Ovis aries: one gene and its partner. Each later gene encodes a partner of the first gene's protein in a complex. Links are inferred from orthologs where the notes say so. Each region holds a gene or a part of one and is shown on either strand. Other genes may lie near its edges. The genes, in order: GNAQ and F2RL1.

What was found.
Region 2: the proteins of GNAQ (region 1) and F2RL1 are in contact, whole or in part, in a cryo-EM structure (PDB 9D0A), measured with the Homo sapiens proteins. The link is inferred for Ovis aries from reciprocal best matches to the Homo sapiens genes GNAQ and F2RL1. Residues at the interface, in NP_002063.2 of Homo sapiens: Arg37, Ile323, Tyr325, Asp346, Ile348, Leu349, Gln350, Asn352, Leu353, Glu355, Tyr356, Asn357, Leu358, Val359; in NP_005233.4 of Homo sapiens: His108, Pro109, Ala110, Met114, Gln172, Arg173, Val176, Ile177, Pro180, Met181, Gly182, His183, Ser184, Arg185, Met265, Met268, Leu269, Met274, Asp275, Asn277, Lys280, Lys281, Arg284, Ala285, Leu288, Ile289, Tyr344, Tyr345, Val347, Ser348.

Annotation. Positions count from the first base shown.
Region 1 is NC_056055.1:58,949,626-58,953,440, forward strand, and holds part of GNAQ (guanine nucleotide-binding protein G(q) subunit alpha), read left to right. Parts: intron 1-1,733; coding exon 1,734-1,918; intron 1,919-3,815.
Region 2 is NC_056060.1:8,047,738-8,051,652, forward strand, and holds the start of F2RL1 (proteinase-activated receptor 2), read left to right. Parts: upstream 1-1,032; 5' UTR 1,033-1,189; coding exon 1,190-1,271; intron 1,272-3,915. UniProt on the Homo sapiens protein: Receptor for trypsin and trypsin-like enzymes coupled to G proteins.

The DNA of each region.
Region 1 (3,815 bases):
AAGCAGAGAAGCAATTTGGATCTTTTTCTTCCATACTTTGAATTGCTCAGAAAAGTAAAGATACTGGTTTCTTCCTATAAATTGTTGATTGCTAATGAGAAACAATTTCCTAGCTTTATTGCCATTAGGGATACTTCTCTTTAAATATTGCACCCCCACCCTCCCCAACCCAGTATTCATGGATGGAATTATATGTTCATTTTTAACTCCTTGCATTAATCTTGTTAAAATGTGTTGATTGCATTCATATTGCAGTGTTAACTTTATGCTTCAAGGAATTCTGAATCACTTTATTAAAATCATATGAAAATGATAAAGGAAATGTTAACTTTATATTTCAAGAAATTCCAGATCACTTTATTAAAGGTCATATGAAAAGGATAAAGAATTGGCGACCACAGGACTGTGGGGCTAGAAATCATCTTTGTAATTATATGAGGCTTCTGTGTTTACCAAGACATCTGTAGTCATTTAAGAGTGCTTCTATGAAAACTGTAATACTTATTTGAATTTTTCATGATTGTTTATAAAGATAGTAATGAAATCCAACCACCAGAAAAACCAAAGTTAGGACAGATGTCGTATTCCTAGTTTTCAGTTCTCCTTTTCCACCTTTTTTTTTTTTTTTTTAATGTCTTGTTGATAGGAAATGGCATCAAGGGTGCTGCAATCATCCTGAGTATTATTATTATTATTATATTCTGCCATGCTTACTATCCTAAAAACTTTGATTTTTTTTCCCCCACATCGTGGGGAAGACATTTATTATTTTGAAAATTTCAAGGAGATTTGACAGTGAGAGAGAGATACTCAGAAATAAAGTTGCACGTCCTCCAAAACAACTTACATTTTAAAAAATGAAGTTTTTAGATTTATAGTTTCAGATTCACCATAGAAGAAATATGTTGTCATTCAGTGAAATGATCTCATCTTTCGGGCATTTGTAGCTTTGTTATGGATTCTCTGTATGCTCATGGTCACCAAAAAGGAATACTGAAGAAGGGGAAAATGAGAACACAGAAGAAAGAAAATCAGTAATAGTGAATTTCTGTGTCATAGTTAAGAGTAGGCAGAAAGAAGGAAAGTTCCTGTGTCTTTTCCTGAATTGAGTGATTCCTTGACACAACTCAGCCAACCGAACCCCCTGGAAATAAATACAGTTGCTACTTGCTATCCCGAAGTATCTGGATTCTTACCTGGATACCATGCTCTCCATATACCCCATTTTAAAGTATGAGAAAGTGTCTAGAAATTTTCTGGCATGTTGTCTTACTGATGTCTGAACAGATTTGTATAAGTGCATTGTCATCTTCAGATCCAGATCCTGGCTAAACATCCCGGTCTGCTGGAAGCGTTTCAGACATACTGTAGGGAAGAGAGCTTTATCAAGTGTTTATTCTGTTCAAACCATGCTGCTTTCATTGTGTTTCTTATAAGATACATGGTTACAAGTCACTATCAAAATTCCATGCTGAGTGGCTTCCAAAAAGGTGACAGTTGTTTGTTTATTTTCTTAAAGTCTGCCTCTGAGCTGGAGTCTCACTCCTCTCATCTTGCTGAGTGCTCACCCTCGGTGGCACTTCCCCCGCTGGTGATGCTGCTCTCCTCTGATGCTCCTCTCAGCAGGCCCTCAGGATGCCACATCCAAGGCCTGCTCCTATGAATAGTGTAGTTGTCTGGAAGACTGTGAGAAGGTCTCATGGTCTGATGAGCTGCTGTCGTTTCTCTTGCAGGGACAGGAGAGAGTGGCAAGAGTACCTTTATCAAGCAGATGAGAATCATCCATGGATCGGGCTACTCTGATGAAGACAAAAGGGGCTTCACCAAGCTGGTGTATCAGAACATCTTCACGGCCATGCAGGCTATGATCAGAGCCATGGACACGCTCAAGATCCCCTACAAGTACGAGCACAATAAGGTAGGCGTGGCTCCTCCTGAGAACGGCTGGCGAAGCCATTCCCAGGGCGAATGGTCTCTTCACATGTCTGGGATGCACATTGTCTGTTTTAAATGGGCATTTTCCACCTCATCCTAAAATGGGGTTTTTAATAGCTCAGCACAGTTGTTTATAAATGGTTTTTTCTTCCTTAAGTCTTTATAAAGTCACAGCTATAAAAGATTGGAGTTGTATTCTTAGTGATATCAGTGAAGGACATGTCTGGATATTTGACAGTAGGTGTATGGATGTTTAAAATGTGGGGGCGCATGTTACGTTAAGAAGAGAGTTTTATCAGTTCAAGACAAACTGACCCGAGTGAGGGGATTCACATGAGAAGTGGTGGCCTTGCCTCAGCCTCCCACTCTTTGTGCTTCCTGAACAAAGAACAAAAACAGCTTCAGACCATTCTGTCCAGTTTAATTTTGGATTTCGTGACTTCCTTTCAGTAGTACCACAGGCTTAATTTTATTTCAAAATAAGCCCATCTGTCGCTTCCAGTAACCTTTCAAACACGTTTCCCTGCAGTTGTGTTAAAATAATGGAAACTTCTAAAATCACTTGAGAAAGGGTTAGGGGAAAAAAATCTAAAATTTTAGCTTTTTAAAAACCAAGCAAACTTTCCCAATATTCAGCATTATTTCTTAACTGAAATAGAAAGCCAGATTTTTTTATTCAGGTGAAAACAAATGCTGTCATTGCTTACTCTCCAAATATTATAACTACGTGATCCCTAACAAGTGTGGTGCATCTGAGGGTGTCCTCGGGTTTGAGTTTATACTGGGAGTTTATGAGGGAAGCAGAATTGTAGAAATGTCTTCCCTTCCTGTTAATCAATCAGAATGTCTAAGGGTGGATGCAGTCTTCATTCCTTACAACATGTAGGTGCTGATCTTGTAAGTTGGTAAAACCTTAACCTTTTGTTGACAAAACACTGCATTTGTACCTGCAGTTATTTGAGGACCTTCAATCGAAGCATTCATTTTCATTCTCTTAGTACTCTTGATATTCTCCTCTTGAGGATATTTCCATATACCAGGATCAATGGGTACTAACAAGAAGTCTGCATGCCCAGTATGACTCATAAGCTGAGATGTAACTCACAAACATGAATCATAGGTAAAATAAAGCAGTTCTCTGTACCTCCACTTCTTTTACTATTTAGAAGCTTCTAAATATACAGATCATTTTCAAATCAGGCATTTCTTTTTTGGAGGTGGTTCCTTAAAATGAACTGGCTGTTTCTTATCTAATTGATATCTTCACACTTCATTTTCCGATGGCAGCGAGAGTCTCTCCACAAATAACAGCGAGATCTTCCACAAATAGTCCTCCCAGCTTCTCCTCTCAAGAATGGAAAGATCTGAGTAGGTTCATGGAAATATGGTACCTGAATCACAGGAAGCTGTCTGGATATGGAAGCAGTCTGAGTTCAAAAGGATCAGGAATTTTCCCCTTTAGAAATCTCAGTGTAGTGAGTTTCTGAAATAGGTGGTATGCTTGTTTTGTTGCGGTTATGAGTATTCTGTTGAAGAAAATTTTTTTTTTTAATGCCAATGACTACAGTTGGTTGATAATATGATGATCTGATGAATTCTGGTTATCACATGTGTGGTGTAATTGATGTGTGTATATGTTTTATCAATACATATATATACACATACATAATGCCAGTCCCTGGTGGCTCAGAGGTTAAAGCGTCTGCCTCCAATGCGGGAGACCCGGGTTCGATCCCTAGGTCGGGAAGATCCCCTGGTGAAGGAAATGGTAACCCACTCCAGTATTCTTGCCTGGAGAATCCCATGGACAGAGAAGCCTGGTAGGCTGCAGTCCATGGGGTCTCAAAGAGTCGGACATGACTGAGCAACTTCACTTTCTT
Region 2 (3,915 bases), on another chromosome or scaffold:
CCTCTTCTCTCCTCTGTCCATGAGAGTCTCCAGGCAAGAATACTGGAGTGGGTTACCACACCCTCTTCTAGGGGATCTTCCCAACCCAGGGATCGAATCCCGCGGCTCTTACATCTCCTGCATTGGCAGGCAGGTTCTTTACCACTAGCGCCACTGGGAAGCCCTACTTGTAAATATAAATGTTTACATAATTCTGTGGACTGTGGGCTCTCACAGAAAAGCTTCTGGCGGGAGCAGTGAGTAATAGGAGACAGCAGAAGTCACCATGTTTACGTGTGATGGACATTTACAATCCGTGACTACCGCTGCGCGACTGTGGGCAGTTTGTTCAACCTTAATTCAGTTTCCTCGTCTGTAAAATGGGAATAACAGTTATTGCATACGTTTTACATTCGGGGGATTAACCTAGACTGGGCTCCTGAGTCATTTACGCGTGGTACTTTAAGTAGCTGTTACAACTGTTTTCTCCCTCCCACTTCACAGACCGGGAAGGGCGCCTAGAAGGGGTAAGAGGTTTATGAGGGGTCGCAGCTAGTTAACAGCAGAGCGGAAACTTAAACACAGATCCCTGAAGACTCCGGCAGGCCCGGGCCCCTGCCTGCTCCCTATCGTGTTGGCGGGGGCCCGCAGACGTCCATCCTGCCAGTGCAGACTAGAAAGTCTCCCCTCATCCCGCAGCGCAGACGACAGTGGGAGGCCTCCAACAAGCACCCAAGATAACTGCAGCGAGCCCGGGCCTTGGCTGTGTGCCCTTTAGGAAGGGCGGGGGATGGGGGTGGACAACGCTGGCTCCGCAGGAGTAATTCAAGGTTAAAGGCGGTTTTCGGCCTTGCGCAGGCCGCGGCGATCCCACGACGAGAGGGTTCCAACCTTTCGAAGATCACAGCACAGTTTCTACGCGGCGGGCGCACCTCGGGCGGCGGGCCGGGGCGGGGCCCGGGACTCCCGGTCTCGGAACCGCGGGGCGGAGCAGCGCGTTCCCGCCCCGGGGCGTGGCCGCGCGCAGGTGCGGCGAGAGGCTCGAGTTTCACTGAAACTTACCGGGTTCTCGGGAGGCGTGCGCGCAGGCTCCAATCAGGGGCCGGCGGGAGGGTGGCTTCCTACCCGAGCCGAGCGGAGAGGGGGACTCAGTTTCGGGGCTGTGGCGGCGGCGGGCTTCCCGTCCGCCCGGCGTCGGCGCTGCTGCAGGATGCGAAGCCCGAGCGCGGCGTGGCTGCTCGGGGGCGTCCTCCTGCTGGCGGCCTCTGCCTCCTGCAACCGCACCGTCGCAGGTGAGAGGCTTGGCTGGGAGGGGTCGGGCTGCTCGGGAGCGGGGGTCTCGGGCGCCGTGGGCTGGAGGCGGACGCTGGGTGGATGCGGGAAGGGTGAGTGCGGCCGCCGCCTCCTCCTCCCCGCAGCCGGCGGCTCCGCTCCAGGCTTCGGAGCAGGGGGGTCTCCGGGGCCCCAGCTGGGACCACCAGCAGGGGCTGAAGCCTGTGGAAGCGAGCGGAAGACAGCGGGGTGTTCGCGTCTACGGACGCCCCGGGGGGCTGAGTCCCTCCCCGCCCCACCAGCCCCAGGTTTCTTTGCAAACACTAGTCATTAAGGAACTTTCGCACACTTTTCAGACTCTCCTGCCTAGTCCTGCGCGACCCGCGGGGTTAGCGAGTTGACGGCCTCAAAGAGCGGGACGGAGCCCGCGGCCTGGGAATTTTCTGAGTCGTTTTCTGAGCCTCCGGCAACTTCTGGAGGCCCCTCTTTGGGGTCGGCCCTCGGCATTCAACCCGCCTCCCCCTCCCCGGGGCCGGCAACTCCTCTGGGACGGTTCGTGGCGGGAGTGGGGAAGCCAGGGCCGGGCGCTCGCTCCGGGTTGTAGGCCAGTAGAACAGGTGAACGAATGGAACTTCTTGAACCCTGCTTTACATTCGACCAGGTGACCTGTGGGCCCCGGGTTTCCCGGCCCTTCGGTGCCACACCGGCCGCCACCAGGTCCGAAGGCCCGAGGCTGCGCTCCCCGGGCACGGAAGTGCCCAGCTTGTGCGCCGCAGCCGGTGCCCGGGGTGTGCTCGGACTTGTCAGGCGGGAGGGGGAATCTCCCCGGCTGAGCTGCTCTCCCAGGGCGTGGGCGCTGTTAGGCCGGGTATTGCCTTCAGTTCAGTTCAGTCGCTCAGTCGTGTCCGACTCTGCGACCCCATGGACTGCAGCACGCCAGGCTTCCCTGTCCAACAGCCCCCGGAGCCTACTCAAACTCATACTGTGATGCTAAAGGATGAGGAGCCTTAAAAAGGAAGTTTTTGTTTCCGTGCGAAATTTGTAGACCTGTTAAGACAGGTTCTCACTTTTATCCTCTTCATGAAGACATTGTAAAACAGCAAATCACTGTGAATTTGAATCAGAAGCATGTGATTCTTTTCCTTCTGCAGTTACAGAAAAGGGTATTATTATGGTGGATACTTGAAAAACTACACCCCTGGTACACATTTTATTGTCAGCGTTAGAATAAAGATATTTTATTTCCTGAAGGTACTGAAACTGTGATGAATACATGTCCCTTTACCGTTCTGTTTTTAAACTTACAAACTTAAAATTTAGGGGCAAGGCTTAGTATGTGCAGACATCTTCTGCAAAATGTGAGGATGTGGATTCTTCTAATTTATCATCTAGACAGTTCCAATAGGAAGCTTGCCTGAGTGTTTGGCTTGCTCTTGTTTACAAAGTGAGGGACAGGAGCTGGGAGGATTTCTGAAGTATAAGGCACACTTCATTTAACAACACGACAAAGATCAAGTTACTTGTTAAACAGAACTATTCAATATTGCACTTTTTTCGCCTTCCACATACTTTTATTCCTTTGCAGGGTAACTTTGCTAAAGGGTCAGTTCAGTAACAGTGAGACTTTAGGTAGATGGAGCTCTCTTCACAACTTGAAACTAAGTTGATTTTAATTAAGAAACATGGCATCACCAGTGTTTCTGACCTTCAGCACCTGTCTTTGCTCACCCGCTTCAGTCTGGCCCTCATGTATCCCCCTCAGTTTGCAGCAAGACGCATACTATACTAGACTTTTCTTCCCAAAGGTTTTTCCCCAAAACACTGCCTTATGGAAAGGAACTCAGCCTAGAGAGTAACCTTATCATTTCACAGATGGGGGTTGCTGAATTGAGGGGGAGAGGCAAGGAAAACTGTCCATCATACCCCTGCTTTCTTTCCTATCACATGTGTGTGTGTGTGTGTGTGTATTCTTTACCATCTGAGTGATGGATAGTTACTTCTGTAAATAGTTTTCTCTCTCCCCCAACTGGATCACATACTCCAGGAGGCCAGGGACCCCTACCGGCACCTCCATCACCACGGTCCAACACATCTCTTTCCCTAAAGGACCTCAGTAAATAGTGAATGAAAAATGAAGTAAAGGGACTGGCCCAGAGTTTCCCGGCAGTTGATGGCAGTTTGGCATTTAAGTTGGCTTTTTTCAGGTACTTACTTCTTTCCCCCGTGTCACAAGTCTGAGAAGTCCCCTGTAAAGCAGTCATTCCATTTTTCTTTCGGACACTGAAACTTGTGTTCCCTTTGTAATTGGTCATTAAGGATACAAGCTGTATGTGATTACTGTAAAGGAAAAATAAGTCCAAAAAGGAGGTGGCATTAATTAAATCACCCTCATTACCCAAAACATTGCCAACATTTTGGTTTCTAGCCTTTCTCATGCTTTCATACATCCATGCACAAAATATGTATTCATAAATAGACAAAAAAATTGTGTACAGCTATGTGTTTATATAAACATCAGTCGGTTGCCATTGCTCAGTCGCTAGGCTAGATCCGACTCTTTGCAGCTCCTCTGTCCTCTAATATCTCCTGGAGTTTGCCCAAATTCATGTCCACTGAGTTGGTGATGCTATCTAACCATCTCATCCTCTGCTGCCCTTTTCTCCT